Pelodiscus sinensis: one gene and its partners. The protein of the gene in region 2 interacts with the protein of the main gene of each other region in a biochemical or structural test. Links are inferred from orthologs where the notes say so. Each region holds a gene or a part of one and is shown on either strand. Other genes may lie near its edges.

Region 1 (10,767 bases), on a different chromosome or scaffold from region 2:
AACAGAGCAATGCATCTAATGTACAAATACACAGATGGAATATGTCACAACCTGAAACCATTACACTATTTCCATTTTAAATAATGTTCCTTAGTGCTGACACAAATAAAATGTATTCAGAGTATGGTGCATCACATTATGATATTAATGGCAATAGGTTGGGGTCTAAAATGTTTTTATTCATTTTAAGGAGCAATCAACTAGATTATACATTTTCTTAATAAATCTGTTTGACTGCAATATACAGGCAGTCCCTGGGTTACATGGATCCGACTTACATCGGATCCCTACTTACAAACGGGGTGAGGCAACCCCGCACTAGCTGCTTCCCCCAGCAGACCAGGGAGACCCGGAGCAGATTTTCTCAGCAGACACCTCAGCTTGAGAATAAAGGACTGAGGGAAGTGAGGTGTGGGAGAATAAAACTGAGCTCTGGAGAAATGTTTGGCTAGAGTTTCCCCTACAATATGTACCAGTTCCGACTTACATACAAATTCAACTTAAGAACAAACCTACAGTCCCTATCTTGTACATAACCCGGGGACTGCCTGTACTGTGGGTGAGGTAATTACTTTTATTGGATCTAATTGTCTCTACTATCCTGGGACCACCATGGCTAAAATTACACTGTATGAAATAGACTGTGTGAAACAACTCTCATGAGAAGGTCACTTATTTAGTGCTTGCAAAGTACTGCAAAAAGAGCTAAATGTGGTGTCAATCCTGCAAGGAGTTCCACATTTGTGGTCCCCAGGCAGAGGCTCTTGGAAGTTGGTGGAACGAGTAAAGAGGACAATTTATGTTCATTGCAGGATCAGGTCTTCTATTACTGTTACAGACTTATAGACCTATATTATGTTTAATCAATCTTGTTAGTTAGTAGTAAGTGATGCTTCTATTTTCATGATTAAATTAGTCTTTGTAAAATGTAATTATACGTAGTAAGAGTAGTAGTTACAGAACACTGTAGATTGTGAGAAGAAATGTGAACTAGGACTCAGTAATGTGTATGTGTACCCATATGAAAAAAATATGTTATGGGGAACATGCAATATTCTGCAGCTCACACTCTCATATCCATTAGAACTCACTGCTAATTAAATTTAAATATACATCCCTTGCTCACAAAATCTTTGCATTTTAGCCCAGGTTATACTACACTGGCACTGTTTTTTTCAGGATATACAAGACACACATTTATAAAGTCCCTCTCTCAAATCACCTCCAAGGCCCTGAAATAATACAAAATATATTAAAAGCAGCGCCATATGCTACTTTTTTTTTAACTCTCATTTAAAATCAAGGGGAATTATGCACCTTGTGAAACATGTATGTAACTGTCATTAATTAAAATAGGCACTATGCAGATCCAGTGGGGGGTGGGGGGGTCGGGGAAAGAAAGCTGTCTTATCCCATAAAGCAACCTAGCGTTAATTAGCTTAATTAAGGGCTGACACTGCAGCCAGAGAGCTAAAAATTGTAAATCTAAGATGTTCCAATTGGTACAGTACTTACGGTTATAGCAGAAAATCATAAGCAACAGAGTATATCATGCAAACAACAACGAGGGGCCATATCATATATAATGCTACACTAACTAATATTACAGAATATTAGAAAGCTTCATGAAAAATACTAGCATTGTAAGAGTTGAGGTTCTCATAGGTAAGAACATATTCTTCTACCATACCAAAGATTTATGATATTACCAAACCTCCATGAAATTTTTAACCTGTTGATGTACACTGTAAATCCTTAAAGATTAATAATTGGTTTGGCATGTCGTGCTAATAGGATGTTAATTTGTGTTGCTACAATAAATAGACATTATTTTAATAAAACAACTATATTTTCATCTTAGTAATTAAAACAACAAGCCTATTAATACAATATGCTAGATCCTTAGTACCCTGTCTTAATACCAGTGTAGTGACACATACACAACTTACCATTAGTCTTTAATGGTACAAGTTTCCTAACTTCCCTGCACCAGTTCAGCTTCCTCTCATGTTCCAGTGAAATCTGGGTGGGCCGGTCAATTAAAGCTTTCTGAAGGGTCTCCCGAAACTGAGGACAAAACTGGCACATTCTGAACATTTCTACTGTGTATCTGTGCATTGTTTTAAAGTGATGAATTATTCCATTGGTGGGTTTGACAAGATCCTCAGGAGTCCTCTCTCTAATTTTCACTGCTTTCAGCATATTGCTCAGATACAAAGCTTGGGGAAGAACTTGTTGGACAGCCATTTCTGAGAAGATACCTGAAGGAAAAAAGAAAGACAATCTTTTTAGTCTCACAATGTATATTATAGGATTCTTGCTGGTACAGAGGTTTAGACTGCAAATTCTTTAGAGCAGAGACCTTGTCTGAAACTCTGCCTGTAAACCACACAGTCCATGGTGAGCGCTATATAAATAATATGAAATCCAGCCACCTCTTAGCATTACTCTGCTATAGATCCTGAACTACTAATCCCAGTCTCTTTACTCTGTCTTCTCTTTATTATTAAAGAGAAGCAAGTATTCATAATGAACTAATGAAATTACAGCACTTGTAAAAGGAGAAGTTTAAATGGAAGTGGGGTGAAGAGGAGGGGAGGGGAGAACAAGAGGAGGGGAAATTACCATGGGAGCTTTGTCTAATCAACAATTGAGCAGCGTAATCTCCAGTGAACCTGCTGAACTTTAAATGCACTTTAATCTTTCAATTTGACCACGTGCCAGAGAAAATTGATCGATCGCTTCAGATTTACAGATGAGTGACAGAACATGCATAAAGCAATGTGACATGTAGTGCAATATTTAAAACACTGAGCTACAATAGCTACATGCAAAGTTAGCTCCCAGCCCAGGCTTAAGATTTCATATGAGATTTAAAATTAACCTAATGACAAATGAAACATTTGTAGCATGATAGGCACCTGGTATTAAATCAGACACCTACATAATAGGAACATTCCTTAGGTTATGTTAATGGTAGGATTATTGCAGAAGCATATGCATGTGTGCATGGGGGTGGGAAGGTACGGAATCAGACCCATTATTACTCAAGGGTAAATCAAGAGAGCTGAAGAAGCATTTCCACTTTGCTCAAAACTCCCAATATTTTTCCGATGTGCAACACGTAATGTCAAATGCTATTTGCTCCTTTCCTCACCTCCAGTCACACTGGAGAACATAAATTCATAGCTATGAATGGCATTCCAAGCCTCACACTTGTTCTAGGCAAATCAGGTCTTTGCACTGTGTCTGACTAGAACCAAGTGTAAACACAGAGTACATCTGCACACATGTACTTTCACTGGTTCTCAGTGCTCAACCCAACTTAATGTTTTTTAAAAGCATTTTTTTAGAAAAGTAAATGTATATAAACCTTACATTTCTAGCACTTGAGAACTCCGCAAGTCTTTTCCTCATCAAATGTCTTAAAAGAATATGACACCTATATTGTGATTTCTAATTTGGGGCCAAACAGAGAAAGGCTAGAGGCAAATGAAAGCTAAACCTCACATCTTTTAGGAAACTGTCCTCTCTAGTGATAAGAGCCTGGAGAGCCATGGAGCAAGCAGGAGGAAAGGAATTACAATCTCACAGATACACCAGGAAGGGAAAGCCTCATCTGCCACGCAGGAGATATCCTGCATGGTAATCTGTTCCTCCACATAGTTATATGGGCTTCCCTCTACATCTCCCTGGTTCTGGTAACTGCCATTGTGAAAGTTCCCCTGTGGCTGGTCAATAGCTACAGAAAGGAACTGCCTAGTAGTTATTACACCAAACTGCTCTGCCTAGAGCTGCTTTGTACATTCCCTCCCAAGAATCTCTGGCAGAAGATCTCAGTAGGCACACTTAGCTGAATTTCTATGGAGTATTGATCGGAAGCAATGGGGTGTCTCATGATGAAAAAAAAATGTGTACCCCATTTCTGCTCAACTGGGGAGTTAACTGAATGTTTTTATAAGTATATATTCATTACAAAGTTAACTAACTCATTTCCTATCTTGTCTATTTCCCCTTGTCCAAAGGAAATGGCACATATTTTCCACATCATACTAATTTTTAAAATTAAGAATGCGGGACAAAATAACCAGAATATAAAAGTGTCATGTCCTTTATCTTCTTCAGCAACTTCCAATCCCTGATCCATCAAACTCTTATATACACAAGCAGACTCATTGAGTCATGGAATTTTTTCATGAATAAGGACTCCTCATCTGATTATGTATTGCAAGCTTGTGCCCTGGAAATGGATCTTTCCACTATTAAGTAACAATGAAGACAGCAATTTGTTTAGCATTAAAAAAGGTGAATTCAATTTATAAGTTATTCAGCACTAGATTTCTGCCTCTCTTTTATTCCAACTACATTCTTACCCTTATATGTGAAAATCTGAGCCATTTTGATTATTAGTTATCAATTTAACTGTGCTTTTAAAAATCATGCTTAAAAATAGTACATTTTTTAAAAAACAAACCAAAAAGCTGTTTACAACTGGATAAGATAAAATAAAACAAAGCATAAAACATTCAGGAGGTGTTAAAAATAATTGTTTTTAAAAATAGATCCCAGTCATTTGAAAAAGATCAAACAAAATTATTTTAAATTCAGCCTTCATATTCAATAATCCTTTTCATATTTATGTAGTGTTCACAGAGCACTGGATGGGATTCCAAAGATCTACTTCTGTCTCTAGCATGGCCTGCTGAGTGACCTTTGGCCAGTCACTTCATTGCTCTGTGCCTCGTTTTTCTCTTATGTAAAATGGAAATAGGATAATGCTATCAACCAAAGCACTTTGAGATTTACAGATGAAAAGTGCTATTTAAGAGCTGGACATTACTAGGGCAACCTTGCCACAAACTTAGTACCCTCAAGTTCCACTGATGTCAGTGGGGCAGAGATGGTCTTTGCGTGGACTTTGTACAGGTCATGGCACATTGTCAACATTTTACAAATAACTATTTTAAAAGAATGGGAGATGAGGGTCTGTAACATTCATACATCATCATCTAGCCGGATCTGGCTTGTTGGTACTGTGATTGTCTTGAGTGTGAAAGAAACAAATGGGTGGTTATGCAATTCACTTTATATATTGAAGGGACATTGTTTCAAGGAATGTTGTCAAGTATGAGCAGTATTTGTAAACCTAATAGAAATATATAATATCTTGGCTTTTCAGTACACCAGAGAAACCAGAATAAGGCCAGTAGGTGGCAGGATGTAGGACACCAGGTCAAAACAAAATGGGTTGGTCAATAACTTCATTACCTAAAAGGTTTTTAATAAGTGTATAAACCCCAAAAGTAACATCTCTGAATGATAACTACCATAGCACTGATTTTTATTATTTATCCAAATTCCCCAGATGGTCACCATTTAAATACAGTTCAAATATATCACCTTCATAAAGCATCACAATATGCTTTACAGCAAGTGGTGGAATAAGGAAAAAATACTTAACCAAAAGGGTACAAGTAAAGGGTATACCAGTTATGCTCCTCTTTTCATGCAGAATTCCTATTTATATTGTGTTCAGTTATACTGCCTTGCCAGTTTTCTACCTAGTTCTATCAAGTGTGATAGGACGTTTGAGTCATTGGTATTGATAAAGCATTGTATAAATTCATATTTGTTTAGGAACTTTCATCCTAGATGCTCAGATGGAACACGTTACATAAGTGCAAAGTATTATATATTAATGCTCTCTGTAACTAAAGACAGATTCTTACTAGAAAAAGAAATCAGGAACTACTAATAATGAGGCTATTTGTAAAAAAAAAATCACAAATAGAAGGTTTAAGCATAGGATTAAGCATAGTGCTACTGTAAGATTTGACAAGAACACAGACACCATGGCTCTGAGTTTGCAGTCCAGCTCTCTACCCCCTACTGGGCGATTTGAGGTGTACATGCAGGTTGTTTTTCTTCAAAATGTCTCACTGCTGCAACTTAGCAATGGTGGGAATACTAATGTAGACAACCTATTGGTGGTTTAGCTAGTCTACTGTTGAACTGTACTCAGTGTAGGCCCAAAAAACCAGAAGCAACCTGCTTACACTAATACTCCAACAGTGGAGCTGCATTAGTGGGGTTATAATGGTGGGAAATTGGAACTAACCTGTTAGTGTAGCTAAGACAATAATAGCAAATCCACTTCTCATGGAACGTTAGTAGCCCCCAACCCACCAAATAGATTACAGTATACAAGCTACGTTTAACCCCCCCCCCCCAAACAATCAGAACAATAGCTCTTGCATAACTGCCTACACGAGCTGTCATCAATAATTATGTAACTTACACTACCACAGCTGGGTGTCACTGCCTCGCTACATCCTTGCCTGCCCTTTCCTCTGTCTACTCTCCAAACCTTCTTTCCTCCCCGTATGTACGTTCTGGGATCGCCAGCCAAGTTTTTAAAGGGAAGAACACACAAGAGGATCGGGGGGGGGGGGGGGAGGAGGGGTAGTCAAACACAGATCCATTAGCAAACCTCCCGCTGCCACCACCGGAGCCTTCGTTACCAACCGGCCCTTTGCAATAAATACACACGCTCACCCACAGAAGCAAGCCAGAAATGCTCGCCAGGGCATGGTCCAGACCACCCCCAGGACTCCTCGGTGCCCCACCACGGAGCGACTGCCACAAGCAGCACAAAGCGCGGTACCTTTCTGCAGAAGGGCTCCTCCAAGAGCGCAGCGCGGCGGATACAATCCTTCTCAAGATCAGTGCACGCAGGCGAGGGCAGCGCTAAGCTGGGCAGCCATGAATGCCCGACCCGACTGGGTTGCAGGAGAATCTGGCTCCTTCACAGCGCCTAGCTGGGCTTCCCTCGGCCGCCCCCTCCCTCCCTCCCTGTTGCTGCTGCTGCTGCTGCGCTGGCTATAAACTGGAGTCAAGGGCTGTTGTTTTTTTTCCTTTCTATTTTACTAAGCCGAGGGAAAAAAGCCCCAGCCCGCGCCGGGGATTTCCACCCCCAGCGCCAGGGACTTTCCGACATGTGACACCCGAGCGAACAGCTGCTGCTGCTGCGGCGGAGGCTGCTGCTTGCCCCGCGGCCCAGAGGTGGCGCTGCGCGAGCAAGCCCGGCCCCACGGCCTAAGCCCCGCCCCGTGAGGCTGAGCCATCCCTCCCCGTCTGAGTCAGCGCGCTGGCGCGGGAGTGGGGGCGCTCCCTTCGGAGCCTTATTGCGTGTGCCCGCACCGCGCCGCAGCAGGGGGGCCGCCTATTGGCCAGCGCCTTGGCCGGCTGCAGCCCGCTCTCCTCCTGCCCAGCGCAGCCGCCTACGGGCAGAGCCAGGCCTTACCTGCAGCCCCCTAGGGGCAGGCTGTGACCTGTAGCTGGTCCTGCAGCCTAGTGCTCAACCCAGGGCTCATGATACCATCGACATGGTGTGTTAAGTCTTTAAAGTGCTACCAGACTGTTGCTTTTTTAAGTTCAGCTTGCAACTGTTAATTGCGTGTCAGGGGCCCTACAGGGGAAAAGCCTCCTGCCACTGCCAAGGCTTAATTAACCCTTGTCAACCCACAAAAATTGTACCTGGTTATGTCAATAGTTACAGTGGTTCAGCCTTCTTAGTATGGTGTTAGCTTAATCAGACGCACCCCGGAGTTGCTATTCCCACTCAGACTGGTACAACTGCCTCTGCTCTAGGGTTTGTGCTGGTGTAACTACATCAGGACATGGGCATACCCCTAACCAACAGATACATCTGTAGGAAATGTGCCTGAAGCTCAGGCCTTATTTGCACCATTAACTATGCAAGAGAACAGAGGTGAGTAATGGTAATTAGATGCCCTAGGCTCCCATAGCTCTGCCCTCATGGCCCTACCCTTGCATTTGGTGATTCTACCTTTCACTTACAGTGGCACTGATGGGGGTAAGGAGGTAGTTCTCTCCCAGCAAAAGAAGGGTAGCAAACTTTCTTGCTAGGAATGACAGTTCAGGACCCCTCCCTTTCATAATCACTGTGGGCTCTCTGTCACATGGAAGACAGGTACAGGTGGCAAAAGAGGTTTGCAGTACTCAATCCCACCTGCTAGGATGTATATGCTTAGGTGGGTCAGGATCACTGCATTCTTTTCTTGCTACACAAAGTTCTCTTTGGCAGGGTCCTCCAGAGCAGGAGGTTATGGAGTTGACACCCCATTCATTATGTTGTGGTTCCCCCCACTTATAACTATTGTTTCAGGTTGTCTTCACACTCAAAGAGCTGTCTCTGATTTGGTTATACTTGGTTCACATTCTCAGGCTTTTCTTGGTAACCCTGAAATTTAATATTTGTTTAAATGAAGGGTTAGAGTCTGATGTAATACCATGACTCCAGGGGTTTGGCTTATAATGCTTTAATATGCCTTAATCTGCTCCTGCAGGTGAATAATTTCATGGTAATTGACTGTAGGATGGTAGGACTACTTGCATAAGTAAAGTTACTCATGTACGGGGCCTGGAGCCTAACATTGTAAATTCATGAAGACAGAGATCTTCAATTTGTATCTCTTTGTAAAGGGTTATCAGGTTATATACATAATTTCATGTTAATTAATAAGCATCAAGTGTTTTTTAAAACAATATTTTCAAAACTCTGTCTTAGAAAAGCTCGATAGTTGCCTTCTAACATATCATAAACAAAACAGCTACACGTTGTTCGTGTGAGAGTGTGTCTACCCAGCAGGGCTTAACTTGAAACAAGCTACGCAAATTGAGCTATGTTAATTGCATAGCTTATTTTGAAATTGGGAGTGTCTACACAGCACTTATTTCGAAATGAGCACTCTTCTTCTGACTTATCTTACTCCTCGTACAATGAGGGTTATAGGAGTCAAAGTAAGAAATCCTCCAGCTTGATAATATTTTGACATTATTTCAAAATAACTGCCTGCTGTGTAGACACGGACTAAGGTATTTTGAAATAAAACCTGTTATTTTTGTTGCTGTGTAGACTTACCCCAAGTGATTTGTACTGAACAAATAACAGGTTCCTGGCCAAAAAGCTGACAACCTAAAGGTACAGGATCCAGTGCATGTTGTAATAAAGGGCCTGAACCCTGCAAAGTGCTGAACTCCTTCTGTGGTTCTGAATTCCTCCCTCCCCCGCCTTAACTTCTCTGGGAGCTGAAGTTGCTCAGCACCTTGCTGTCTCTGGCCTCAGACCTGGAAAGTTATTACAGAAAAAGTAGATTTTAAAAAAGATTTTCGAGGAAAGCAGGAGTTGGGCATCTGTATGTCTTCCTCTTCTTTCTACCCTGTGTTCACTGAGTCAGGGCTGTGCTTGGGAAAAGGGATGATCCCATATAGATTAAAAAACTGATGTATTTTAACTTTTTCACTGCAGTTCCTCCTTTTAAGTGCCCTGCTGTCTAGTGGGATCCACAGCCTGACATTTGCATAGGCTGTCTATATAATACATAGAGAAAGGCACCTGGAATGTGATTCACAAAGCCAGAAAACTGAGCAGGGCGCTGTGCAAACTAGCCAGTAGGAAATGCCAGCATAAGGGATGGGGCTTAAAGCATACCCTACAAAAGGACTTAGGCACCTGATTCTGGCCTCTCCATTTGGGATTCACAACCATGATCCTTGTCCTGAAGTTAGCTTAGCCCTTTCTCACAAAACTCTGAGGAAGTGGTAGTTCCCCCTCCCTCTATAACTAGGGCCCTACTAAATTCACAGTCTATTTTGGTCAATTTCATGGTCATAGGATTTTTTAAATTGCAAATTTGATTATTTCAGATATTTAAATCTGAAATTTCACAGTGTTGTAATTGTAGGGATCTTGACCCAAAAAGAAGGTGATGAGTGTTTGCAAATTTTTTGTTTATGTGTGTGTGAGTGCAGGAGGGTGATAATTGTGTTTCTGCTGCCCTTATTTCTGTACTGCTGGCAGTGGCCCTGTCATCAGAGCTGTTTAGCTGGAGGGCAGCAGCTGCTGGCCAAGAGCCCAGCTCTAAAGGCAGCGCCACTGCCAGCAGCAGTACAGAAGTATTGATGTCATGGTATAGTATTGTCATCCTTACTTCTGCACCATTGCTGCCTTCAGAATTGGGCCCTTTATTAGCAGCCACCACTCTTCAGCCATCCAGTTCTGAAGGCAGCAGCACAGAAGTAAGGTGGGTGTGGCATGCCATTGACACTCTTACTTCTGCACCGCTGCTGATGGGTTGCAGTATTGCCATCCTCACTTCTGTGCTGCCTTCAGAGCTGGGTACCTGGCCAACAGCTACCACCCTCCAGCTGCCCAGCTGTGAAGGCAGTGCAGAAGTGAGGGTGGCAATACTGCTATCCCCTAAAATAATCTTGAGGCTTCCCCACAATTCCCTTTTGGATCTGGACCCCCAATTTAAGAAATGCTGATTTCCCCCATGAAATCTGTACAGTAGAGAGCAAAACACACAAAAGATCAGCATCTATGGTGCATGACACATTTTTAATGGCTGTGAAATTGGTAGGCCGTATCTATAACCAAGTGCTCTGAGTGCTTACCCATGTGGTGAGAGAGCTAGGTTCAAGTCTACCCTGCAGGGAACAGGGACTTGAATCCAGACCTCCCTGGATGCATGCTGTAACTGCTTGGGATCCAACTATGTTTTGTAGAGGATCAAATCTGGTACACAAGCCCCATAGACAAGAGAAGCAGGGGAATTTGAGAAGTTCACTGGGCGTAGGTATGAACTACCCAAGAGGCATTAGGACTTAAGCATCTTTGCTCATGCTCACAAAGAGAAATTTAGGTGCCTGCTGGTCTTTGATAGTAGAAACTTAGGTACCTAG
Region 2 (10,657 bases):
ACAATAAAACATTCTACAACTACATTAGAAGCAAGAGAAAGACCAAGAAGGACAGGGTAGGATCATTATTCAATCAATGAAGAGGGCAAAATAATAACAGAAAATGTGGAAATAGCAGAAGTGCTTCATGATTTCTTTATTTTGGTTTTCACCAAAAAGGTTGGTGGTATTTGAACACTAGAGAATATAAAGCTTATACAGGTTCAACCTTCCTAGTTCAGCACCCTCAGGACCTGATCAGTTCTCAACCAGTGAACTTTCCAGACCATAGGAAGTCAATGCTGTCTAGAAGCATTACCAGCACTTCCACTGCTTACTGGGCTGGTAGAGGACATTTAGGGGGTAAATTAGAGCTAAATAATAACACAGATCTAGGATTTGTGGCTCTAAATAAAATTTATAGGACCGTGGAAAACACCCATGAAAAGTGGACATCCAGCTAACTAAAATCATTCCAGAGCATGGATGTTTCCAGACTAGAGAGGGTCAACCTGTACTGCAAAGCCTGCAGTGCAGCTAGCTTAGCTCCTGGAGAGCCAGCTACTCCTTGAGCCAGCTGACCCCACTCCCAAGTAGCCCCCTGCCTCTCTGCACTGCTGACTCTGTATCAGAGGCAGCATCGTGGGGTCCCAGGAAGGAGCTGCTCTGCAAGGGGAGCCTGTTTAAAAACCAGCTCCCCTCATGGACCTGCTGACTGTTGCCCTGTGCTGCTGCCTGTGTGTCAGAGGCAGCAGTCTCTGTCCAGGGCGGGGAGAGAGGGGCTGAGTACTCAGACTGGACACAAGCCAGATCTGAGCCAGGCTGCCTGCCCCCCGGTTCCTAATACACTTTAAATGCAAAGCCGCAGGGGTAGTAGATCCTGGACCCAGGGCGAGCGAGGACTGAGCCAAGTTGCTAGCCAGCCTGCTAAAAATTTACTGGCAAAGAGGGGGAGGTGAAATGCGTGTAGTCTATAGCATTAACCTATAAACTTTTGCTTATTGGTTGATCGACTACATTATTACATCCTTAGGACAGATGTAGACAAATTGAAAAATGTGCAAAGAGCAACAACAAGTATTAAAAGTCAAGAAAACGTGGCCTATGAGGGCAGATTGAAATAAATGTGTTTGTTTAGTCAGGAAAAGACTGAGAGGAGACATACGTTTTCAAGTACAGTACCTAAAAGTTACAAGGAAGAGGGAGAAAAATTATTCTTCTTAACCTCTAATGATAGGACAAGAAGCAAGGGGCTTGAATTGCAGGAAGGGAGATTTAGGCGAGATGTTAGGGAAAAGTTTCTGGCGCTAGGAAAAAATGTAAACCCTAGGGATGTAAGAATTTAACCAGTTAAACTCCCAGCCAATTGATTACACAATTAGTGGGTTTGATTTTTTTTTAATTTTTACATCCCAATTAAGCACTGGAATAAATTGCCTAGGGAGGGTGTGGAATCTCCATCATTGGAGACTTTTAAGAGCAGGTCAGATAAACACCTGTCAGATGGTGCTTGGAGATGCCATAAATTCAAGAGACTTGACTTGATGACCTCTTGAGGTCCCTTCCAGTCCTATGATTATGTGACCATGGGTGCAGTTTTTATGGGGGGGTCACCCCTCCCCCAACAGAGGTGGCACAAAGGGTTACCTGCCACTGCCACCCTATTTCTGCAAATGGGGAGCTAGGACCCAGCTGAAGGAGACAGCATCTGGCCTCTGCTGAGTGTCTGCAGCAAAACACCATATTTTGGGTCCTAGTACCACACATGCTCCCCTTCTCTGTGTCAAGAGCTTTCCTGTTTCTGTGCAACAGGGAGTGCCCATGGAGGGGCTGGGTTTGGAAGCGTGGAAGAAATGAGAAAAGGCGGGATTAGACAGGGTGGGAAGAGGCAGTGGGTAAGGAAGGGGGTAGAATAGGGCAGGGGGAGGGAAATGTGGGAACAAAGGGCAGAAGATGAATAAGTAAAGGGAATAGGGAATTATGGGGGGAAGTACGAGCCTGGTATGCAGTGTCCCCCTCAGCAGCTGTTGTCCTCCTCCCATTAAGCAGGCACATTGAACCTTCATCCTGTCACACCCTTACCACAAGAAGTAATGTTGCGTAACTAAGATTATTTTCTCATTAGCCTTGTTCCTTGTTTTACCATTCAGAAGTTGTCCCCCTCTCACAGTCTGAACTCTACTGAACTCCCCCCTCCCCCCCCCCCACGCCCTCAGATGACACCTACAAAGTCCTCAGAGAGACTCTGACTGGTGCTATGGTCAGTTTTCTATTAGGATGAAGTTGGGATGTAAAATCCCATTTAATAGGTTAAACAATGAAAGGGGGAGGAGGGAGGCTCCACAGCACTGTCACTGCGTTCTGCCCCTGTCCTTCAGGAGAGTAACCATCTTTTTAGGCTTTGGATGTCACTACATCATTAGCACCTTGCACCCATTTCGATGAACGCGGGCCCCCTCTTTTTTTTTATTATCAAAACTGAGGTGGGTGTGCACATAACAAGTACCACAAGAGTGGAGGGCAGGAGGTGAAAATTCTCACTACTCCCCCTTTGGGCATGGGAACGGGGTATGGAAATCCCCCCCCCCCTGCTCTCCCGACCCCTGAGGATGAGCAGCAGTGGGGGCTCCCCACCTCGGGCTGCGGGTGGGACAGTGGGAGGAGAGGAGATAAAAGCCCCTCTCCCGCCTTGTGGAGCCACAGGGATCGTCCCGCAAGGAAGCAGAGGAGGAGGCAGCCCAATGGAGGAAATCCACGCGTCACTGCCCGCTGTAAGGACAGGTAGCAAAGGTAGCAAGTCCTGAGCAGTAGCACCGCATTTCATGTATGCATGACAGAAACCGCAACGATCGCAACAACGGAGAGTTTCAGAGTTGCACTTTCTGTCGTCGCCCCGGCAACTCCCAAATCGCATTGCACCGTCACTAGCGCAGAACGCCCCTGCCCTGTCCCGGGACATGGGGACTCACCACGCGCACACGCCTTTCCCTGCACAGCAGCCCAGGGCGGAGCCCTTCCCGGGCCAGGTAACTGTCTTAAAGAGACCGGGTCCTCGCCTACAACCCCGCTTCCCACGGATCGCATCCAGCCCGGGAAAGTCCGGTGTTAAAGCGTGAGACACAGCGCGCAGGAGGGGAGCGGCGGGGTGTGTGTGTGTGTGTGTGTGTGTGGGGGGGGTGTTCTACCTTAGTCCTTCAGCTGGGAGTTGCTGGGTCGGTGTGTTAAAGCCCGCAGCACACCACACCAAAGAAAGCGCATGAATCAAGGGCTCAGGATACAACAGTGTCTGACACATACAGGAGCCCGCTGTGTGTTTGCAAGAGCGAAAGTTTATGTGACCATTAGGAAAGCTAGTTACCGTATGCTAGGGGGGCAGAAATGCACCGGGAACTGGAGCAGGAAGAGGAAACACGGAAGGCTCGTTCCACCATTAGAATTTGCTAAGAGATTGCAAAAAATCCGGCCTTTACAACATGGTGCTGAAACTGAAACTAACTCTCACCCTCCGGCAATAATAAGGGAAGTTTTAGTGGAAAACGACAATCGAAGAGTCCTACGTTCCCCCTTCTCTCCAACGTCAGGTCCCCAAAAGGCCTTGATCTTAATATAATGAAATATTGCACAGCGTGTCTATTCAAACGCGAAGGAAAAATAAAAGGACCCGAGTTCCAGGCAGGCCTACGTGCAGCTCCTGTGAACTTTTTTAAAAGAAAACTAAAGCAAACAAGCGGAAACATCGCTAGTCTCTTCTTAAAGGCGCAAAGAATGGAAGTGCCCTTACCTGTCACTTCACAAAGCTCCGGCCCCGGCCCCAGGAAGCTCCAGCCACTATAGTCTGGCTTCAGTTCTTTTACTAACTCTAAAGTTGGGTTGGTTCTTCTCTCGGGCCCGCCTCCACCTTGCTGTGGGAGGAGTCATGAAAAACTAGCTCCTGTACAAACTCATGGAAAGCAGTACTACTTTTAGCTTCAAAGCTAGCTTCACAAGTTTGGCCCTGGTTTACAAACTGAGTAGCCACATTGAAGTCAGTGTGTGACGCTGTATGGAATTTGGGGGACAGGAGGATATTATGAAATCTGTAGAACAGTGTTTCCCAATTTTATTTGGCCACGGAACCCTTTTAAACGCCAAAGAATTTAGCGGAACCCTTAATAACAGCAACTTGTTTGACAGCTGAAGTTTCGATTTTGTCCAACGCAGCGCTAGTATATTCGTATTCAGTCACCCACGTGATCCATGCTCCCTGAGAGTGAGTACGGGGATTTACGGTGGTATATAACAGGCGAGTGCACCACTGACTGGCAGCACAGCGCTGAGTAGTGATATCATCGTCCCCACTCTCCGGCTAAGCTGGCATTATACAGAGACACTTATCATGGCAAACACAAATGAAAATTGTTTTAAATGAAATTCATAAATGCTTAAATATATATTTTTTTAAAAAAAAATCATAAAATGTTATTGTAATGGAATTGTCTTGCGGAACCCTTGTTTTCACTTCGCGGAACCCCAGGGTTCTGTGGAGCACCATTTGGAAATACTGCTGTAGAATGATAATCAAATATGCCACCCATGCCATGTAAAGTATCTGCAAAATTGTTACAATCTACCAAAGCTGATAATCTCAGTTATATGTTTGTATCACCTATGTTTTTTGGGTTATAGATATGTGTGTGTCTGTATTACAAACTTGTGCTAATCTGCTGGGGGATGCTCATAGGTGGGTATGCACTGCTTAGCCTGCTTGATTTCCCACCAAAGAACACCAGCTATTCAACTGACCCATTGAGAGAAGGCAGGAGATACACCTGATGCCTCAGCAAGGCATGTCAGGGCATGTCTATGGACAGAACTCTAAAGGGTATGTCTACACTACCAAGTTGTGTCAACAAAACTGATGTCGATAGCCAAAGGTAGACAAAACAAAAATCTCCAGAGGGTGTTCACACTTGCTCTCATGTCTGCACTGGGGGCACCATCATTGACAGTATGAGCAGTGCAGTGTGGGTACAAAACATATCCCACAGTTGTGTGAAGGCAGAGCTGATTCCTGTGCATTTTGGGATTCCCCCTAAGTTCTCCCGCAGCCTCTTCAGCTGCCAAAGAACAACATCATGAGCAGCTTTTTGAGCTCTCCAAGCTAAGGAACGTCAAAGCAGCACAGCAGCCTGTCCCCCCTCACACCTGCAGTAGTAGTCTGTCTACCATTATTAACTGTGGTTCATAACCTAACCTTTAAATTAGCTTCCGTACCTAATGACTGGACTATAGCTAATGTGACACCAGTATTTAAAAAGGGCTCTAGAGGTGATCCTGGCAATTACAGATTGGTAATTCTAATGTCTATACCGTGCAAATAAATTGAAACTATAGTAAAGAATAAAATTGTCAAACACATAGATGAACATAATTTGTTGGGGGAAATGTCAACATGGTTTCTGTAAAGAGAAATAATGTCTTACTAATCTACTAGAGTACTCTGAGGGGGTCAACAGAAATGTGGACAAGGGGGATCCAATGACTATAGTTTACTTAGATTTCCAGAAAGCTTTTGATAAGGTCCCTCACCAAAGGTTCTTAAATACAGGTGGCCCCCGATTTGCAATGCGCTTGGTTCCCGGAGAAGCGTAGCAAGTCAGGGGCATCGTAACTTGAACCCTCATTTATGATAGGCACCGTGCGCCATCATAAATGTGGGACGAGGACGTAAGTTGGGGGTTTTCGACCCCTTCCTCACTTACAAAAATGGTTGTAAGTGTGGGAGACCGTAACTCAGGCAGTTGGAAGTCGGGGGTTTCCTGTAAAGTTAGTTGTCATGGGAGAAGAGAGACAGTCCTCTCATGGATTGATAACTGGTTAAAAGACAAGAAACAAAGAGTAGGAATAAATGGTAAGTTTTCCTAATGGAGAGAGGTAACTAGTGATGTTCCCCCAAGGGTCTGTATGGGGACCAATCCCATTCAATCTATTTATAAATGATCTGGAGAAAGGGGTAAACAGTGTGGTGGCAAAATTTGCAAACAATACTAAACTGCTCAAAATAGTTAAGACCAGAGCAGACTGTGAAGAGCTTCAAAAAGATCTCCCCAAACTAAGTTATAGGGTAACAAAATGGCAAATTAAATTTAATGTTGATAAGTGTAAAGTAATGCACATTGGAAAAAATAATCACAACTATACATACAATATGATGGGGACTAATTTAGCTATCACTACTCAAGAGATATCTTGGAATCATTGTGGCTAGTTCTCTAAAAACATCCACTCAATATGCAGCGGCAGTCAAGAAAGGAAACAGAATGTTAGGAATAGTTTAAAAAGGAATAGAGAAGAAGACCGAGAAGATTTTATTGCCTCTGTTTAAATCCATGATACGCCCACATCTTGAATACTGTGTACAGATGTGGTCGTCTCATCTCAAAAAAGATATATTGGCATTGAAAAAGGTTCAGAAAAGGACAACAAAAGAAAAAAGAGGTTTGGAGTGGGTACTATATGAAGAGAGATTAAAAAAGACTGGGACTTTTCAGCTTAGAAAAGAGGAGACTAAGGGGAGATATGATAGAGGTGTATAAAATCGTGATTGATGCGGAAGAAGTTAATAGGGAAAAATTATTTACTTGTTCCCATAATATAAGAACTAGAGGTCACCAAATGAAATGAATAGGTATCAGGTTTAAAACAAACAAAAGGAAGTTCTTCTTCATGCAGTGAACAGTCAACCTGTGGAAATCTCTGCCAGAGGATGTTCTGAATCATAGAATCATAGGACTGGAAGGGACCTCGAGAGGTCATCGAGTCCAGCTCCCCGCCTTCAAGGCAGGACCAAGCTCTGTCTACACCATCCCTGACAGATGTCTATCTAACCTGTTCTTAAATATCTCCAGAGAGGGAGATTCCACCACCTACCTTGGCAATTTATTCCAATATTTGACCACCCTGACAGTTAGGAATTTTTTCCTAATGTCCAATCTAAACCTCCCTTGCTGCACTTTAAGCCCATTACTCCTTGTCCTGTTCTCAGAAACCAAGAGGAACAAATTTTCTCCTTCCTCCTTGTGACACCCTTTTAGATATTTGAAAACCGCTATCATGTCCCCCTTAATCTTCTTTTTTCCAAACTAAACAAGCCCAGTTCATGAAGCCTGGCTTCGTAGGTCATGTTCTCTAGACCTTTAATCATTCTTGTCACTCTTCTCTGTACCCTTTCCAATTTCTCCACATCTTTCTTGAAATGTGGCGCCCAGAACTGGACACAGTACTCCAGCTGAGGCCTAACTAGTGTAGAGTAGAGCGGCAGAATGACTTCACGAGCTTTGCTTACAACACACCTGTTGATACAACCTAGAATCATATTTGCTTTTTTTGCAGCAGCATCACACTGTTGACTCATATTCAACTTGTGGTCCACTATGACCCCTAGATCCCTTTCCGCCATGCTCCTTCCTAGACAGTTGCTTCCCATCTTGTATGTATGGAACTGATTGTTCCTTCCTAAGTGGAGCACTTTGCATTTCTCTTTATTAAACTCTATCCTGTTTACCTCTGACCATTTCTCTAACTTGCTAAGGTCATTTTGAATTATGTCCCTATCCTCCAAAGAAGTTGCAACCCCACCCAGTTTGGTATCATATGCAAACTTAATAAGCGTACTCTCTATCCCAATATCTACATCATTGATGAAGATATTGAACAGTACGGGTCCCAAAACAGACCCTTGCGGAACTCCACTTGTTATCACTTTCCAGCAGAATTTAGCACCGTTAACAACAACTCTCTGACTACGGTTATCCAGCCAATTATGCACCCACCTTATCGTGGCCCTATCTAAGTTATATTTGCCTAGTTTATCAATAAGAATATCATGCGAGACCGTATCAAATGCCTTACTAAAGTCTAGGTATATGACATCCACCACTTCTCCCTTATCCACAAGGCTCGTTATCCTATCAAAGAAAGCTATCAGATTAGTTTGGCATGACTTGTTCTTCACAAACCCATGCTGGCTATTCCCTATCACTTTATTACCTTCCAAGTGTTTGCATATGATTTCCTTAATTACCTGCTCCATTATCTTCCCTGGGACAGACATTAAACTGACCGGTCTGTAGTTTCCTGGGTTGTTCTTATTCCCCTTTTTATAGATGGGCACAATATTTGCCCTTTTCCAGTCTTCTGGAATCTCCCCCGTCTTCCATGATTTTTCAAAGATCATAGCTAAAGGCTCAGATACCTCCTCTATCAGCTCTTTGAGTATTCTAGGTTGCATTTCATCAGGCCCTGGTGACTTGCAGGCATCTAACTTTTCTAAGTGATTTTTAACTTGTTCTTTGTGTATCCTATCTTCTAAACTTACCCTCTCTCTGCTTGTATTCACTATGTTAGGCACACCTCCAGACTTCTCGGTGAAGACCGAAACAAAGAAGTCATTGAGCATCTCCGCCATTTCCAAGTTTCCTGTTACTGCTTCTCCCTCCTCACTAAGCAGTGGGCCTACCCTGTCCTTGGTCTTCCTCTTGCTTCTAATGTATTTATAAAAGGTCTTCTTGTTTCCCTTTATGCCTGTAGCTAGTTTGATCTCATTTTGTGCCTTTGCCTTTCTAATCTTGCCCCTGCATTCCCGTGTTGCTTGCCTATATTCATCCTTTGTTATTTGTCCTAGTTTCCATTTTTTATAGGACTCCTTTTTTATTTTGAGATCATGCAAGATCTCCTTGTTAAGCCAAGCTGGTCTTTTGCCGTATTTTCTATCTTTCCTACACAGCGGAATTGTTTGCTTTTGGGCCCTTAACAACGTCCCTTTGAAATACTTCCAACTCTCTTCAGTTGTTTTTCCCTTCAGTCTTGCTTCCCATGGGACCTTACCTACAAGTTCTCTGACCTTATCAAAATCTGCCTTCCTGAAATCCATTACCTCAATTGTGCTGGTCTCCCTTCTACCTTTCCTTAAGATCATGAACTCTATTATTTCATGATCACTGTCCCCCATACTGTCTTCCACTTTCAAGTTCTCAACTAGTTCCTCCCTATTTGTTAAAATCAAATCCAGAACAGCTTCTCCTCTGGTAGCTTTTTCAACCTTCTGAAACAGAAAGTTGTCTCCAGGACTTTAACAGGGTTCAAAAAAGAACTAGATAACTTCATGGAGGTTAGGTCCATCAATAGCAATTAGCCAGGATGGGTAGAAATGGTGTCCGCAGCTTCTGTTTGAGAGAGGCTGTTCTTAGGTTCACTGTGTTCCTAGTGCAGGGCGGAACAGGGGCACTCCAATTATTTGCTCTTTGTTCCCCAAATGGAGCAGCTCACTCAGCTGTCAGGCATTTCTGGGAGCTTTGAAGGAAAGGGGCTGCATGCCTGCAGAGCAGTTGAATCAAACCTAAGTAGGGCCATCAGGGCAGGCATTATGGGATACTGATGGAAGACAGATCTGTTGACAAAACAAACAGCAGTGTCTACACTGAGTCTTTGTCGACAATAAACAGAGGGGAAAAGAAAGAAGTCTCTCATAGTTGTGGAAGTTTTTTGTCGCCCAAACTGGGTGTTTTTCCCAAGAAAAGTCTCATTTCAGTGTCTATGCTTTCACTGTTTTGTCGCCAAAAGGCAGGTTTCACCAGTAAAACTTTGTGGTGTAGCCGTAGCCTTCCAGGTCATGTGCTGGGCAGCTTGTGTTTGGGACAAAGGAAATAGAAGCCATATGGCAAAAAAAATATAAAAGGCAACCGCATCTTCTCCCTTTTGTCTCCATTCCTGCTGCCTACCTCTGGAGTAACCAGTCTACAAAAAAAGCTATGAGCAAAGTATTGAATGACCCATCCAAACTGTGGATGTGTTCCAGAGGGACTTTCAAGCCAGCAAATTCACCAGTACAACTGGGAACCTGAAGTTGTATGTACGTGACTGTCTGACCATTTCACACCTCTCTTCGGTCTTTCTTTTTTCTTTAATAAACTTTTCGTTTTAGATGCTAAAGGATTGGCTGGCAGCATGGTATTTTGGGTAAGATGCAAACCAATAGTGAGCTGGTAATATGGTTGGCCCTTTGGGTCCAGAAGAATATTTTGTATGTGTGAGCAGAGTTTTAAAATAACTTCTCACTGTACTGGGTCTAGGTTCTAACTGGGAGCCAGAGAACTAGAGGGCAATAAAGGGGGTTATGTTTTTTTGTTTCTTTATAACCAGTGTGTGTATTGGGATAGGGCGAACAGATCAAAAGCACAGTTTGTGACTGGTTAGGAAGGTTAACTCCAGTGCAGCCTGCCCTGACTGTGGCATTTCAAGTAAGGACTGTCCCCGGCACACCTGCCTGATTACACAGTGTGTAATATAGCAATGATAGCCTCAAAAATGATAAGACTGCCTTTCCCAAACTTGAAGAAGAACTTGGGGTAGCTTAAAAGCCTGTGTCTCTCATTACAAGAAGTTGGTCCACCCACCTTGTCTCCCCAAAATGAGTTGGATTTTTTTAAGGGTTTGTTAGGACTGTTTCACTTTGGCCCTAGTTTGCATTGCTAGCCTTTTGTTAGCAATACACAAAGTAAACTAACTAGGGTTTTATCATGTAATACCAGGCTGATGGCTGCCTCACTGTGCAGCAGGAATAGAGTGCATTGATGTGTGAACACAGAACATGTTAAGGTGAGAACTCATGGGTAAACATGGATTAAAATTCCACTGGAAA
Region 3 (9,813 bases), on a different chromosome or scaffold from region 2:
ATTTGTGCAAATTTAACAACATCCCTCAGCTTCTCCTGCTGTAATTGAGCAATGGACAAGTGTTGGAGGGGAGGGGCGGGTTTTTAAGATGGAGGGACTGAGTCCCACTTACACCGATGCCTACTTTACACTACTCTGGGAGTTTAAAGGGTACTTAAAATTGGCATAAACTTACATTTACACACAACCCTTACACAGGTGAGGGAAAGGAAGCTTTAGTGTAAATGACAAACCCAAAATGAAATTTGAAGCATCCCTTAAAATTATACAATAATTTATATATGGACACTCAGAGATCTGCTTCATTCCTAACTGTTCTTGTGTCACTATCACATTTTTATGCTTTCACAGGGGGCCTTTGGAATCTATTTGTGATGCCACACATGGTCTACCAAACATAAAGCAAGACAAGTTTTTAACAAATATCCATCAATTAGAACACAGAATAAAAGCCCTATAGCACATATAGAGCTAACATGTACATTTTACTTAACAAAAGACTAGACCCTGGTATGCTTGGGTGATTATGTGGTTTCTAGACCTGTTCTTCATCCAATTAACATCATTCCTTAGCTTATATCACAGTCCTTTTGTGCCCGGGAGGTCTAGTATCTCCTTCAGGAAGTTGTGGAACCTTTTTCACTGGAGAGTTTCAAAAAGGAAGATGGATAGCCATCTATCTTGGATGGTTTAGGTGCAACAAATCTCACATCCAGGCAGGACTTAGACTAGATCACTCTTGTGGTCCCTTCTAACCTATTGATTCTTCCCTGCCTGTGCCCTCCAGATTCTGCTCCTTCTGAATCAAGTTCCCATCTTTCTCTTCTCTGCTGCGCTACCTACCAGCGCATAGGAACCCAGCCTAACCTTTGCTCATCTCAAAAAATCTGCATTACTTTCTCTCACTCAGCTGGCTCTCAAGAACTATGGTGTGTGGCCTACTATGGACACTAAGCATCACCTCTAGTTGGCACAGCCTCTCTCATTCCAAAATGTTGGAATAATTTGCACTATCAATAACACCAAGAAATTAGCAGACAAGTAGCTGCACTATGAAAGCCAGCTTCAAAACCACAGGGATAATTCTGGCCTTACCTATAGGATCCTCTCCCATCATTTCCTTACGCTTTCTCTCCAGTTTCTCTCTCACCCATGGAAACTCCTGTAAGGAATCCAAGAACGTCTCAAAGGCCTTGGGGCCTCTGGTAGGAAGGATATCGAGAAGCATCATGGTTTTTCTGTGACTGGTGGCTTGGGACTTTATTTCTTGAAGGTGGTTCTCTGTTAGAATGCCTTCCTGGTAGAGATAATGAACGATGAGCTCCTCCACCAGCACCTCTGAGCAGAGCTCCAGCCGCAGGGAACGCAGAACCATCCTGTCTCTGGTATCCATCCTGTCATGAGGCATGCAAGAAAAGAAGCAGGACACATGAGATATTACAAGGCTTCCCTTTTTAACATCAAAGAGAGCTATTTTCATGTTCAAAAGGGTGTCAAAAGAGAACCACACCAAGATAAGCTGAAGTGGGAACCATCTATCGCTGCTCAGCCATTTTCCTTCAGGCTAGCATTTTATATTCAGTTTCCCCTTAGCTAGCAGTTTGATTTCTTGTCTCTCACCTGAGGCCATGAATTTGGGACCTGATCTTTCTCCCACTGAAGTCAAGGTGGTTTTGCCATAGACTTAGATGGGAACTGAACTGAAGCATAAAAGCCACAATCCTATAAGCTCTTTGGCAAAGGGATGCCATTGGAATACCTTAAGGCCCCAACCCTGCAAAATTAAAATAGCATGTTTCTGAGGGTGAGTCTAGACAGCACCCTTCTGTCAGAATAAGCTATGCAATTTGCATAGCGCAAGTCGAAAGAGCTTATTTTGAAATTTGGCGCTGTCTACACAGTGCCAAATTTCAAAATAAGGTACTATTCCGACAAATCCCTTAACCCTTGTGGAATGAGGGTTACAGGGACACCAGAATAGCAGACACTTTAAAAGACGCAGTGTTGCTATTTTGGGATACTGGAAGTATCCCAAAAGAACAACGTAGCCTAGACATAACCTCAGTAAATCACTATTTTTGCAGGAAGTGAAAAACTGGGAATTAGGGCAGGACAGACTCATTGTGAAAAGATTTAAAAGGAAAGACATTTCAGCCTCTGAAACAGCTCAGCTTGTATTAAAAATACAATATAATAATATGTCTTTAATTATTTGGAAACACACACAATATAAGCTACCCATTGAAAACAGTCCTCCTGATGCCCCATAAACGTAAAAGATTTAAATTACTTTTATGGTAGTTCCTCCATAAAAAACACAACAGTTTTTGCACAGAATCTACCATTTCTTGAGAGAAGGAATAGCTAGCACTGTTCTCTTTTCCTCTCCTCAACCTCAGTTGAACTCTTCTTGCCACATACCCATCTTCCCAGCATATAGCATTCCACATAATCTCCCCCCACCCCATGCGGCTTCCTTCCAGAAAGTAAAGGCCACTAAGACTGTAAGTGATTAGCGGTGAAAGGGGACGGGAGTTGAGGAAACGTTGTTCTAGGTCAGCCATAAAGATGTTAGCATACTGTAAGTGATTAGTAGAGCCAAAATTGCGCTGACAGTCATGATCCTTGCTAAAAGCTGCTGGGGGTGTGAAGCGAGATATTAACAAAGTATCTTAACAACCTCTTTGGTATTTAAGCATCATTAAAAAAAATGTCTTTCATGGCTTTAAGGCTGGGAAGATATTGGGGGAATGGAGGGAACCACAAAGCAAACCTGGAGTCTTACTATGGATCTTGAGGTGAGATCAGCCTGGGAGGAAAGTTTAAGACAGAGCACAGTTAAAAGTACAGAAGAGTCAGCTCACCCCCAACTCCATTCTCACTTTGTTTCCCCCTCCAGACTGTTGCACTGAGAGCTCCCCCTCCTGTTCCATTCTACTATAACCACTGTCTGCAAGGGATCCAGTATCAAACTAAAGGAGGCTTTAAAAAAATAATAATAATGATCACGGTGGTGGAAAGGAGAGAGATAAAATACCAGATCATCCCTTATCAAAGAAAAGAAGCTGTCCATCAAGCAAGGAGGCCAAAGTTATAGTTTTTCCAAATATTTCTAAAGGTTTGTAATTTTTCAACCTTAGGACCATACTTTACTTGTCCTCAGTTGTCCTTGCACAGTCCCTAACTTGCACATCGGTATTGCTATTGACACCAAGGGAAATTAATGTTTGCATGCATACATTGATGTGAAAGCACACCAAAAATGACAGTTCAAAATCTTGCTCTGAATAGCTTCCCAATACCCATTTAACCTTTGAAATAAGCACTCTGGCTTGTTCCTAGATGTAATAGCTATTGCATTAATCGGTTTCTCTGTGAATCAGTTGTAATTTGAATTGGATCCTCTGATTCCTGGCACATTTCAGTAAGGAAGTTAGTGCCTAGTTAGGCAGGAATTATATGAACCATTAATTCCACATGGCCTCATTCTCAGCTTGTGAGGTCTGGATGATTTTCTCCAGCTTTTTCAGTTGGAAAGTGCTTCATAAGCTAGATACAGAATTTATAAAACAGGTGCATCCATTACAATGAAGAACAAACTGATTTGGCTCTTGCCATTCATACTTACTGGCACTGCAGGGTTAGTAAGTTTCTGTTGCTCATATATTCCAGCAGGTAAAATTTAAGACTCTCTCTCCTCATTATTCCTCCTGAAGAATGTGATCATGTCACAAAGCTGCAGGGGAGACATTGGTAATTTCATGGCATTGATATATGCTGCTACTGCCTCGGACACTGTGTAAATACACAGATCACCAGAGTGCTGCCTGAAATTCATTGAGAACTGCTTTCCCGTAGGTGGTGAGATTGTCGCGTTTTGGAGTGGCTGGTAATGTAACTAGCAAGACGGGAATCCACCAACAAATTACACCTCCTAGACGTCAGACTTTGGGTCTGGCTGTTGGTTTTTGTTTTGTTTTTTTTCCACCTCCGTGTGTCTGTAACACAAACAGGGCAAAAAGCCCTTAGCTACGGTAGCTGGGTACGACTCGGGAGTGGATCGAATCCCCTGGGGCTGTGCCAGGCAGGAGTGTTGTAGCCTCCCCTGTTTTCAGCCCCGGCTCGGCAGCATTAGAAATAACCCCCAGCACCATGGTGCGTCTCTTCAAAACCCTCCTTATCGCTGTCAGCGGAGCCGGTAAGACCTGTCAGTGCAGGGAGTTGCTGCTGCTGGGGGCGGACAGGCTGTCAGGGCTTGCGCTGCCCTGGTGTGCGTGGACCTGCCGGGATTTCAGCCTCCACAGCCAGCGCCGCTTGGGCCAGGGGGAGAGCTGCCACGACCGGGGTGGCAAGGGAGGAGAGGGGCGTGCAGCCAGTGCAGCGGCAGGAGGGCTCCCAGCCAGCGCACGGGCAAGGGACGGGGGAGCCAGCGCTCTTTCCCGCCCACTGCAATGTACTCACAGCCGGAAAGCCGGGGGTTACACACGCTCCCGGCTCGGCGCTGGAGGCACCATCTTTGTTGAAGGCGAAAGGGCTGGGCAGGAAACGCCCTCCCCCAGCCTTCCCAAGGGGACGAGGCAATGCGGCGGCCATGTTTGTTGAGGTCAAATGCTTTGCCATGGAAAGCGCCGCCGCCATCCGTGTTGTGGACACAGGCGCTCCCACGTGTTAGACGAGCAGCGAGCGCGTCTGGGAAGTGCCGAGTGTAACCTGAGAACACTGTAACCCCCCCCCCGAGACATTGTTCTTTGGAAGCGGTGTTACAGCCCTGGCAACCAGACAGAGGTGGGTGATGCAAAAAAAATCCTTTATTAGACTCACCTGTGTTAGTAAGAGACAGGTTTTCTAGCTACACCGAAAACTTCTGTAATCCGGTCTGGGCAGGAACACATTGCTCTTGGGCCTGCGTAGGAAACTTGATTGTGACTCATTGCAGCGCTCAGGTGTCCATCCATGAGAGAGGATGACTGTTTAAAAGACTCCAGAGTCAGAACTGTGAGAGTTAAGGTTGAACATATAACCTTAACGCCAGCCCATAGTGCAGCTGCTTTAAAATGCAGGCATTTATTTGTAATCTATAGCAGACTGTAATAGCTATAGAATAGCATGAAATAACATGATCTTGGTAACTAATTGACCATTCATTATCAGTTGGAAATAGGTCAATGGAGGGATGATAGGAGTTGCTAGAGAGAACTTTCTGGGTGTCTGGCTGGTGAGTCTTGCCCACATGCTCAGAGTTTAGCTGATCGCCATATTTGGGGTCGGGAAGGAATTTTCCTCCAGGGTAGATTGGCAGAGGCCCTGGAGGTTTTTCGCCTTCCTCTGTAGCATTGGGCACAGATCACAGCTGAAGGACTCTCTGCATGTTGGGTCCTTCAAAGTATTTGAATGCTTCAATATCTTTGATATAGGTGAGAGGATTATTCTAAGAGGGGTGGTTGAGATTCTGTGGCCTGCACTGTGCAGGGGGTCAGACTAGATGATCATAATGGTCTCTTCTGACCTTAAAGTCTATGAATCTATGAATAATTATACTATCAAAAAACCTTTGGAAGGGATCAGTTTGGCTGAACTTTTAGCTTTTGTACAAAGTAGGAAAATCTGCCTTGGGTACAAATTTTGCTATATTGCTTTAGTCTAATGAAAATTAGGGTGTTTTTTTTTTTAAATAAACATCTTCCTGCAGTGATCACAACTCAAATACTGCAGTGCTGCATACCTGCACGTTAAACAAATTAGAAACAAAGGTTTCTAAAACAGACTTCATTGTCCAAATTGAGGAAAATTTTAAAAAGCAAGCAACGTAAGTACAAAATAAAATGGGTTTTAAAATTCTTTGTCAAATTTAAAAATCAAAGGCAAGGGTGGAGAATCTCAGGCCCAGGGGCTGGATATGGGAGGCTGGATGCAGCCCCCGGCTTGCCTCTTACTTGTGTGGTGTGCACCCCTGACTGATTTTTCTGTGGGTCAGTGGCTCCCAACTCACAAAACATCTTCCCCCTTCTGCCCCCTGGATCTAAGGTGTCATTATTAGTAATGCAGGCTCCAGTTCTGCATTACTTTACTCACTGAGAGTAGTCCCATTGACTATACTGAGGCATGTAGCTAAGCATGTGTTTTTGCGGGATCCAAGCCATCAGTGAGCCTACAATTGCCTGTGCACAGCAGAGCATCTTTCTGGAGTGTAGGACTGAATTCACAGACAAGAAAAAATGTTTTCTCACAACACATGACTTTTAACTCAAAGTGCCCCTTTTAAACTGAGATTGACAGAACTAAGGCTCTCCATTCCAGAGTTAGTTTAATATGACTAAATTTACAAAGTGACTATAATGAGAATTCATATTTATGGACAAACTAATTTTTATAACTTTGTAATGTTCCTTCACAACTGTTTTTGTGAGTGGAGATTAATTTAGTAATCTTATGTTAAAACAAAACAAATTTAAAAAACCACAACAGCAACAAAATAAGCATAAAAAATGTTGGGAATTTCCTTATTTAAAAAAAAAAGAATGATCATTGTTTCCCAAAAGCAAAGGGAGGAGTGGTTGTGGTACTGAAACAGTAATGCACACAGGAGGATGGGAATGGTGTCTGCATTCTAGTACTGAAACTTTCTGAAAGATTTACAACAGAAAGGGAAAGAGAGGGAAGTGAAGTATGAATGTGGCATGGTTGAACCTACAAGTCTGTGAATGAGAGGATGGGGTAATACCTGTTTTTAAATCTGTGCTGTTCTTTGTATCTCCTTAGGACCCAGACTGACTAAAATGAGGCTGGCTTTCTCTTCCTGTCTGTCTCCCTCAATCAGTTTCTCTTGGCTACTCTGCCCCCAAAAGTTCTCAAGGCCTACAGTGTCCTGGACTTTCTCTTGGTTTCCAATGATTTACAGCTGCTCTCAGCTACAGTATTCTCCCCTCCCAGCACAACTGCCCATATGCTAGTATGATATTAATATATTATTACTAGATGATTTACCAAGCATTGCTTGGGTCTTTAACTCATTTATTTTTTGTTTTTCTGCATTTAAATCATTGTTCTGGATGGGGCTAGCGATTAGGGGTTCAGTATGCAGGCTGCCCCAGGGAGAGAGGACAACCCCAGTCCTCTCTCACCACAGCAACTTGGGGCCAGGTGAGAAGTGCCTCTCCATGGCTGCTGCAGCTCCAGATGGCACAGTCAGGAGAGAGATGCATGTCCCCTGGCTGGGGTAGGTTCAGGTTCCTCTGCCCCCTTCGCTCCCCAGTCAGAGTGAGGAATGGAGCAAACACTTTCCCCTTGCTCCCGACGAAGAGGAACAGCCAGCAACGTTCTCATTTGAATTTAGGGGGAAAGAGATCTGCAGTCTCCCCTGCCTGTTCCCAGGAGGGGCATCCCAAGGCAGGGGGAGGGAAGGGAGCCTTCTGCTGGCGCTCCCCGGGCCCAGTCTGGGGGTGGGCAAAAGGGTGGTGCTGGGCAGCCTTGACTGTGCTGGGAGAGGACAGTTTGTGGCTCCTGTGTCAGGGGCCAGAGTTGCGCTGCCCACTTCAGCAGTGCTCCCAGAGGGGCTACAGTGGTGGGGCCAGCAGGACTTCCCCCCCTGGCCTGGCACCAGGACCATAGGGGGTCAGGGTTTTGGGTAGGAGGACCACTTACTTGGGCTGGTGCAGGCAAGATGGTGAGATCTCGTCCCTAGCTGGCTACTTCCTTGGTGGTGCGGCAGTCCCTAATGGTCACTCTGCAGTTTAGCTGTCTCCTGCACTTGCTGCTGTCCCCAGTGGTGACTGTGAGTATAGCGATCCTCTGCTGAGTCTCCTCCCTTTTCATGTTATGGAAAACAATCGAATTCCAGGCACATCTCGTGTTTCTGCACAATCAAACCCTGACTTTGTTTTAAATTATATACAGAGAAAGATAGATTGTGAGCTGTTTCCTGGTTCTGAAACTTTGCCCCCTTTCTATTTGCTTAGCCCTTTCCCATTAATAATTTCTATTTGATTATTTTTAGCTTACTGGCTATTTTCACATTTTATAAATATTAGTCCTTGTATGTTTACATTTCTCATCTTTGTGCGGGGCAAGCCAACTTAAATGTTTTGTGATTGGTGGGGGCACAAGATTGTCATATTGCTCTTGGGCAACGGGTTGGAACTAAGCCTCCACACAGCTGCCTCTTCACAGCAGCAGTCTTGTCTTCAGACATGGCCTTCTGAGGCAGATATTACAATATGCAGGTTGCACTTCTATAAACTGGAACTCTCTGATCCAGAAGGACCACGAATATTTCCAGATCAGAGAGTCAGGCACTCTGCGGGGGGCCAGGATCCAGCATGATGCAGTGGGGGCAGAAAGCTGGTGTGTGGCTCATCTGGGCGGTGGAGGGGGAGGGGCAAGTCAGACAGCCCAGTGGAGGAAGGCCAGGGGGGCCAGCAGCAGGGGGACCAGAAATGACTTCCCCATGTCTGGCAAAATCCCTCATCCAGGACTAGTCAGGATCTAAGGGTGCTGGATCAGGGACTAGGGATGTTCAATGTCAGTTAATCACCTAATTGAGTAATCAGTGGAATTTCCTGCTGCTCCTGTACATTTTAAAAGGGAGAGAAGCAGCAGGAACCGATGCCAGCAGGGACTGAAGCAGTCCCTGCTAGCACACGTTCCCCTCTGTGCCTCTTCCTTTGAAATGTACAAGAGCTGCAGGTGGCTCTTGTACATTTCAATGGGAGAGGAGCAGCAGTAGGGACCAGTGCAAGTGAGATGTTTCAAGCCCACTCACGCCATTTTCCTGCTGCCCTATGCCTCTCCTCCCCCCCACGGAGACGGTGCTGGAGGGAGAACCAGCTTTTAAGCTGCCCCCCCCCCCCAGCACTAGCTCCTGCTCGCCCACCTTCTGTTGCCTCTCTCTGATAGAGGCAGCAATGGGGGGAAGCGACTAGCCGAGTTCCTACTCGACTACCCAATAAGCATTTCTCGACTAGTTGCTTACATCCTTACCAGGGAGATCCAACCAGTATTTCTTCACCAGCAATGGAATTTTCATAATGGAAAGGTGTAGATTGAGTGTCAGTAGCAGAATACGCATGCACACCTGCCTTTAACATAGCTGAGAGAAAAAATTCTGTATGTGCCTGCACTTTCTCTTGTTTGATACTACTAGAAGTGAAATCAATGGGGGCTTTGCTAGGGCCCATTAGTCTGACTACGAGACACAGATGCAGGATCAAGGCCTCAAAGAGCGATTTGGGGTTGCTCTTCGGTTATATAATACCAAAATGATTGGACCTAGAGAAAGCAATTTCCAATTCCTTTGGCTGTTCTTCCTTTCTGTAGTAACACGGCAAATCAATTTAGCCACCATTCACTGTTTTTAAATCTCCCTTCAGCATTTCCTATTGACTAATGCATTGCCTGGGAATAAACATCTTAAATTGGTTTCTGCAATAATATGAAATATAAATGCCACATATAACAAGAAAATTGTTCTAGGAGGAATTGCTCTCCACCGCTGTTTCAAAATTCTGCTTACGGGCTAGCTAGTTGATACTACTACTATTAGATTAAATAGTTAGACTGCCTAGTTTTAAAAGATATTTTTTGCTGCTTGGGGAGTGTCTTATACTTGAGGAACTTATTTTAAGTAAGCTATTATTTTACCTATGTTACTACAAAATTCCATTATGCAAATAATTGCTAATGGGATACAAGTGTTCCCTCATTTGAAATTTGTTAGGGAGAATCTAAGAAGTTGGCTAAGACATTCCATACTATTTTAAATTTTTCTTATCTCTTGTTAACTTTTTAGAATATGCAGTGTTGTAGCCATGTTGGTCT

The links.
Region 1: of the proteins of RIPK1 (region 2) and TNFAIP3, one has a biochemical effect on the other in vitro, tested with the Homo sapiens proteins (2 studies listed by BioGRID). The link is inferred for Pelodiscus sinensis from reciprocal best matches to the Homo sapiens genes RIPK1 and TNFAIP3.
Region 3: the proteins of RIPK1 (region 2) and CRADD form a complex in vitro, tested with the Homo sapiens proteins (2 studies listed by BioGRID). The link is inferred for Pelodiscus sinensis from reciprocal best matches to the Homo sapiens genes RIPK1 and CRADD.

Annotation. Positions count from the first base shown.
Region 1 is NC_134713.1:98,274,843-98,285,609, reverse strand, and holds the start of TNFAIP3 (tumor necrosis factor alpha-induced protein 3), read right to left. Parts: upstream 4,495-10,767; 5' UTR 2,400-4,494; coding exon 2,363-2,399; intron 2,262-2,362; coding exon 1,950-2,261; intron 1-1,949. UniProt on the Homo sapiens protein: Ubiquitin-editing enzyme that contains both ubiquitin ligase and deubiquitinase activities.
Region 2 is NC_134712.1:115,468,517-115,479,173, forward strand, and holds the start of RIPK1 (receptor-interacting serine/threonine-protein kinase 1), read right to left. Parts: upstream 3,892-10,657; 5' UTR 3,761-3,891; intron 3,734-3,760; exon of another isoform or gene 3,165-3,733; intron 1-3,164. UniProt on the Homo sapiens protein: Serine-threonine kinase which is a key regulator of TNF-mediated apoptosis, necroptosis and inflammatory pathways.
Region 3 is NC_134711.1:80,087,711-80,097,523, reverse strand, and holds the start of CRADD (death domain-containing protein CRADD), read right to left. Parts: upstream 4,495-9,813; 5' UTR 4,462-4,494; intron 3,737-4,461; 5' UTR 3,703-3,736; coding exon 3,629-3,702; intron 1,410-3,628; coding exon 1,096-1,409; intron 1-1,095. UniProt on the Homo sapiens protein: Adapter protein that associates with PIDD1 and the caspase CASP2 to form the PIDDosome, a complex that activates CASP2 and triggers apoptosis.